2 linked regions of the Tribolium castaneum genome follow. The protein of the gene in region 1 interacts with the protein of each later gene in a biochemical or structural test. Links are inferred from orthologs where the notes say so. Each region holds a gene or a part of one and is shown on either strand. Other genes may lie near its edges.

Evidence for each region.
Region 2: of the proteins of UbcE2M (region 1) and APP-BP1, one has a biochemical effect on the other in vitro, tested with the Homo sapiens proteins (4 studies listed by BioGRID, with this or other methods). The link is inferred for Tribolium castaneum from reciprocal best matches to the Homo sapiens genes UBE2M and NAE1.

What each region holds. Positions count from the first base shown.
Region 1 is NC_087394.1:37,270,761-37,273,842, reverse strand, and holds UbcE2M (NEDD8-conjugating enzyme Ubc12), read left to right. Parts: upstream 1-1,363; 5' UTR 1,364-1,535; coding exon 1,536-1,641; intron 1,642-1,687; coding exon 1,688-1,782; intron 1,783-1,833; coding exon 1,834-2,181; 3' UTR 2,182-2,461; downstream 2,462-3,082. Other genes in the region: msk (importin-7), read right to left, coding at 2,797-2,861, 2,915-3,058.
Region 2 is NC_087394.1:31,701,698-31,705,631, reverse strand, and holds the start of APP-BP1 (nedd8-activating enzyme E1 regulatory subunit), read left to right. Parts: upstream 1-1,267; 5' UTR 1,268-1,399; coding exon 1,400-1,467; intron 1,468-1,517; coding exon 1,518-1,682; intron 1,683-1,729; coding exon 1,730-1,912; intron 1,913-1,959; coding exon 1,960-2,246; intron 2,247-3,043; coding exon 3,044-3,483; intron 3,484-3,530; coding exon 3,531-3,934. UniProt on the Homo sapiens protein: Regulatory subunit of the dimeric UBA3-NAE1 E1 enzyme. E1 activates NEDD8 by first adenylating its C-terminal glycine residue with ATP, thereafter linking this residue to the side chain of the catalytic cysteine, yielding a NEDD8-UBA3 thioester and free AMP.

The sequences.
Region 1 (3,082 bases):
GGAGATGTAAGTGAGTAGTAAGTTTTTAATTTATTTGAAGGTTAAATAATCTAGGAAAAAAACTGTTATTCTTTTATGCAAACTCATCGTGATTTACATTTACAATATGCTCCCAAATATTTTTTTACACCTCATAACAGCATGGAGAAAAATATCTACTTTGACTAAGTCTCATTTAATTCGTAATAATTGTTGTGATGGATCATCAAAAATTAAATGTAATGACTGGTGCTTTTTAAAAGGAACTGATGTGATATAATATTATTTGCAGATAATATGCAAGAATAATTGCACAATAATTTTTATTTAACACAATTTTTTTCCTAAAATTAGATATAGGATCAAACAAACAATATTAATAAACGAAAAATACAAGCTTTTTAAATTAATGAATTATTGATTGATAACTAGAAAAGCCATTTCTCTGAAGTCGTCTGTAAAATGGTTACATTACAGACCATATTTATTTGGGTTCAAAATAGTCTCTAGAGTGTCGTACTTTTCAAAGCTCATAAAATGTGATAACTGATGACGTGATGAGTGATGAGACTTTGTGTGAAATGACTGCATTTCCAATTTTTTTTAAGAAACTTGGAAAATTATCAATTCAGAAAAGCACTAAATTTGTTTTTTACACTCAGATGAGTCAGATGGTTATCTCCTCTGCTATCTATCACTTTAGACAACAAACCCCATATTCATGAAAACTCAATTTTAATTTAAATATTACAATATTTTAGGCAAAATGCTAAAATATTTTTTAATTAATAATTTCGTAAAAAAATTAAAATTGCTCAAACCGTCGCGTCGTCTGCGTTGATAGTTGAATGACAATTAACGAAGACGACGCGACGGCTCAAACCCGTGGCCCAAACTTTGCAAAAGTTGCTCTGCGCGTCAAAATGTAGTACCGTATAAAATTTCAATAACGATGCTTTAAAATATTAGGGTTGGATTTATATTAACAAATAAATTAGAAATGTGTACACTTACCTTTGAGTAACTGCAAACATTCGTTTCAATGTTCATCTGTGGTCTGGTGGTCAACAAACTAATACACAAACTAAAAACACAATAACGAACAGTTCTAAAACGCTCCTAAACCGAAATAATTCGTTTCACAGAATAATTTTACGAATTTCAACAACTCAAGACGCGAAAAATCCGCAGAGGATGACAAACGCACCAGTAGTACCAATGTAATAACAACGGCACGAAATAAATTAATTTAAATAGCTTTGAACATAGTCTTCTGATGGTCTGCTTTATTGATTTGGATCTTTTGATTAAGTGCTTTGCAGAAAAATTCTTAGCATTAGCAATAAATGAATTTTTTAAATTTTTTCATTAAGAATTCGTTCCGATGGTAAAGTAAATTCCTGCATGTCCCATTGACAGTTTTGACATTGACAGATGTGTGAAAAATTCTCTTGCAAAAAGCAATCGAATAAACTCGACTTTCCCATGTTTTTGTAAAGTGTGCTCGCAGTAAATTACATTGCTCTGACCCCTCACCACCCCTGCGCCAGCCAAATATGATAAAACTATTCTCGCTGAAGCAACAGAAAAAAGATGGAGAAGCCTCACCGCGACCAGGAAATCAAAAGAAAGCCTCTGCAGCCCAGTTGAGGATTACGAAAGGTTGGTTGTGAGTCATTGCGCCCCCATTTTGACCCTCCCTTTGCAGATATCAACGAGCTGAACCTGCCCAAGACCTGCACGACGGAGTTTCCCGATCCGGACGACTTGCTGTCTTTCAAACTGGTGATTTGTCCGGATGAGGTTAGTTGTGGATTAGTGTGTGGGGTTGTGGTTAATTGGGGGGACGTTTAGGGTTTCTACAAGACAGGGAGGTTCGTATTCAGTTTCAAAGTGGGCCCCAATTACCCGCATGAGCCCCCCAAAGTCAAATGCGAGACACAGGTCTACCACCCCAACATCGACCAACAGGGCAACGTGTGCTTGAACATTTTAAGGGAGGATTGGAAGCCCGTACTGACTATCAACAGTATCGTCTATGGACTGCAGTATTTGTTCCTTGAACCCAATCCAGAGGATCCTTTGAACAAGGAAGCGGCTGAAGTGCTCACGACCAACAGGCGGCTGTTTGAGCAGAACGTCCAGAAGGCGATGCGTGGAGGGTATGTTGGCAGTACTTATTTCGACCGCTGTCTCAAGTGATTCTTATGTGTAAAGAACTTATTTATAAGTTTACTGTTTTATGCTCGTTGACGAGGACACTCGAGTGATTCTTGCATACCTAATTACTAATTTCGTTTATTAAAGCTACCACTATGTTGTTTTATTTGGCTTTTTCATCTCAATCGTTCTATTGTGATCATCATATCTCACTCCAGCGTAAAGCACCACAAAGCGGTGTGTTGTAATTTCTCCTCAGTGAAATGTAACTGATTTAATTAAGAAAATAGATAATTTTTCATAATAAAAATCTACAAAAATTCGAAGCAATTCTTTATTAAAATGCAATAACTTAACACCTTTCAGTATATTATAGAAATAATGTAATTTACTACATTGTCTTTCCCTAAAGAAGAAAACAAATGAGACAAAAGAGACACAGTCGAAAAATAATTACAATTACACGGAAAATAAACTTCCATTTAAATCTATATTAGGTAAATTTAAATCGTTTACATCCGTTTTTTTTTTGTTTAATAAAAAGGCACTTAATAAAAATTAAAAAAGATTAAATTACCAACTGTACATCATTTCACTGGTCTTAACAGTCAATTTTACATTCAGTCACAAAAATTTTACACACCACGTCACATATATTCATGACGGTTTTGGAGCGCCAAACTTAAAAGTTGTGGGTACTTCATGTTGTGTAAACATAAAACCTGGACAAACAAAATTAATTTGTTATTCCCCCAACACTATCATATAATTTTACCTCCCGATTGTTCAATTCTTTTACTTTCTTTGGCTGCTTTCCTCTGATCCGCTAACACACAAATATCTACCAAATTCTTCTTTTGTTGTTCGGTTAAATTGGCCGTGAGGGCATTATACCATTCAGGCTGACAACGTTCCAATCCTTGAAATTTTATTTTATAAATCT
Region 2 (3,934 bases), about 5.6 Mb from region 1:
TCAAAGGTTTTTTTTCCGTTGGTAATTCATATATCACGCTTGGGAAATAAAAATTACGTAAAACACACCACTTTTATCAACATTTTCCAACTTCAAAACGTGATTTAACTGAATTTTAAAAATTCCGTGCCCTGTTAAAGCTTGGTTTGTTAATTATTTGACTGAATGCAATCAGAACTGGTAACAGTACCACATAAAAAATACCAAAAACAATACTATAAAGTAACGTTTTGTAGCATTGTTTTTTTTTTAATAAAATTGTGTTAAAAAACAGGTAATTGGTAAATTAAAATTAAATGCGAAATTGAAAAAAAATTAATAAAATTACAAAGAATACAGAAAAATTAACCTTTGTGCCTTGCTATTTATTTCTGCAATTTGAAATAAATCAATTGTTGTAGTGGCTTTTTCGTTTATATAAGTAAGAAATGTATTATTTCAAACATATCCGTTAGAAACAAAGAAACATGAAGTGAAAATCTGAAAATTTTATAGGAGCAAAATTCAGCAAAAAGGCTTAATTCTGCAAATGATGCAAGACAAGGCAAGAAAACTGATTCAGTTTGTGTCCCTTGTTAATAAAAAGCTTCTTTGAAATCGAGACCACGTGTTTTTTAGATGTTCTCTAAAATTTTAACCAACTATCCTCCATCTCCCCTATGTGGAATGAACTCCTATGCACAATTATCTAGAGTGCTGATTTATTTAATATTGCCCAGATTTCATGCTACCTTGATTAAAAAGAAGAAACAGACAAAAAGGTTTTTTGAACGAAGATAAACCGTTTTTTTTTAAACCGGTGCCGGAACCAGTACTTGTAAATGAAACCCTATAATAAAAAAATGACATACCTGATAATGAACAGAATACGAACTTGGAAACACTGACTTTATCGCGATAGCAAATACAATAAAAATTTAACACTTTAACACCGAATAAAATTAAAACACAATTTCACGTGTAAGGACTTGCATGTCCCAAGAATCGCAGATGTCGCCCTTTTAATTTTCTTCGGCAATCATCGTTTTGCAACGGTTTACCTCTCCATTGATCTGTAAAATATAGAGCGCAAACTGTATCAAATTTGTTAATTAAATCATTTATTTTGCGGCCTAACAGCAAAATAAACTTACTTTAAATTAGCATAGTTGTTTAGGAATATAATGCAATGAAATATTAACGTAATCCTACAAGTATAATTTTATTGCGTAATGTTTCCAATCTAGAAATTTTTCACTTCTAATACATATTTTAGTGATTTTTATTTCCAAAACTAGTGCAAATTGCCGGCATTGAAAGCTGACATTTGGAGTGAAAAAGGCCGACAGTTTTTTAAATTTTACAAGAAGTTATTGTTGTGTAACACATAAAAAGCCTTGTTTTAAGTTTTTAATCGATAATGTCATCTCCCGCGCCAAAGTCGCCGGAACAAAGCGAAAAGAGCAAAAAATACGACCGGCAGTTGAGGTTAGTCAACATTGACCAGTCATTTTTCAAAAAATAAACGAAAATTATAGATTATGGGGCGATCACGGTCAGAAATTTCTCGAAAACTCAAAGATTTGTCTAATTAACGCCACCGCTTTGGGTACGGAAATTCTCAAAAGTTTGGTTTTGCCTGGCATTGGTTCCTTCACGATTGTTGATGGTGAAAAAGTAACTGATGATGATATTGGTTCAAAGTAGGAGTTTTAAAATTAAGGAACGTTGTCTGAATCAGTTGTTTTAGCTTTTTTATCGAGAGTGATTCAATAGGGATGTCTAGAGCACAGGTAGCCACTCAAAACCTACTTGAGCTGAACCCTGATGTTAGAGGGGACTACATTGACGAGTCCGTTGACCACATTATGGCCCACAGTCAAGATTTTTTTGACACGTTTTCTGTCGTAATTGCAACGTGTTTGCCAGAAAAGTAAAATCAATAGAAATGACGTCAGGAAATAATTGATCAAATTTTAGAGTTTTAATGCCGCTCTCTAGACACTTATGGGAAAAAAATGTACCACTTATTGTATGCCGCAGTGTGGGCTTTCTGGGCTACATAAGAATACAAGTCAAAGAACACACCATAATAGAAGCCCACCCTGATAACGAAAATCATGATTTACGCTTAGATAATCCATGGCCTGCACTTAAAGAACATTTGGATAAAGTTGATGTAACCAAACTAGACAACAAGGAACGCAGTCATGTGCCTGCGGTGGTTATTCTGTACTATTATTTGGCGCAGTTTAAAAGCAAACACGGTAAATTTCTGGTCAAAGTGGCCGTAATTTTGAAACAAAGTTGGCAATGCTGTTGTTAGGTTTTGTCAGATGACCATACTAACGATGTGCATTTGTTAGTTATGCTGCCAACTTAATTTTTAAGTCATAGGCCACTCTGATAGAGTTACTTGAAACCATGAAAGATTCTATACAGGGTGCTCAAGTCACGTACCAACTCAGTGGTACTGCAAAAATTCTGACTTATTTTCTTATAAGTTTGTATGTCTACTGAAAAATTCTAACAGTACTTGAATTAAAAAAAATTGTATAAACCTTGGGACTTCTCGATCGTCTCATTGACAACATCAAAACTGTTTTTTAAAGTGAATAAAGTCAAACATTCAATTTTTCTATAAAATAAAAAACAAACAAAGCTTGTTAAAAAAGTTTTCAACAGAAGAATCGCTCCTTGGGACCTTAAATACCTTGATAACATAAATTAAATTTTTTATTTGTCTTTCCACGTAGCGATTTTCTTGATTTTCGCAGAAAATAAAGCTTGTCACAAGGGCTTGCGGTCGTGAAAAGATGAAGAATCAAAAATCATTCTTTAGGGCTTTAATAATTTTTTTATTCAATTTGTTTCAACTAAACTAGTAAAAATATTGTTGTATTCTTCCAAAATACTTTCTACAATTTTTCACTTATAAATGTCCTAAACTTCCTGAAAGCGTTAATTTTTTCTTGTTTGGTTGAAATAAATTTAAATAGTCCAATTTTTTATTGAGTTGGTGCCCACGTTTTTGAGCATTCTGTATACAAAACTTAATTGTTAGGCCATTTACCGAAAACTCGAGCCGAAAAGGAAGAAGTTAAAAAAATGATAACGGAAAGCCCCCCGCCTGATGAACACGGAATTAAGAACTTGGAGGAGAATTTTAAAGAGGCTATTCGCTACATTAATACTTGTATTAACCCCATCAAGATTCCCCCAAATTTGCAAGCAATTCTGGAGGACGATAGCTGCATAAATGTGAACCAGAACAGTTCACCTTTTTGGGTTTTATGTGCGGCCTTGAAGGAATTTGTTGAAAAAGAAGGGGCGCCCCCTTTGAAAGGGACTTTACCAGATATGGCAGCTGACACCAGTAGCTACATCACGTTGCAACAACTCTACCAAAAACAGGCTCAAACCCAGTGTGAAATTATCTACAGGAGGGCGTTAGAAATTGCGCGAAATTTGGGCCTCTCTCAAGAGACCATAACCGAATCTGAAGTAATTTCCTGTTTTAGTGTTTTTCTGTATTGAATTCTTGGTTTCAGGCTAAGCTATTTTGCAAGCATGCGAGTGAGTTACATGTGATTCGTGGCAGTTGCATTGCTGATGAATATCAAAAAACTAGAGTAGATCTAACGTCATGTCTTGAGGATCCTGATAGTTTGATGTTCCATTACATAACTCTAAGAGGGCTAGAGCGCTTTATCAGTGAATTTAATAGTTATCCAGGGCAATTGGATGACCATGTGGAGCCTGATGTGCTTAAATTGAAGGGCATTATTGGGAAGTTGTTAGGAGAGTGGGGTTGTTCACAGATAATCAGAGATGAGAGGGTACACGAAGTTTGTCGCTACGGGGGCGCTGAACTGCACTCAGTCTCGGCTATTTTGGGCGGATGTGCGGCTCATGAAGCCATCAAACTTATAACTCTGCAGTATAAGCCACTAAA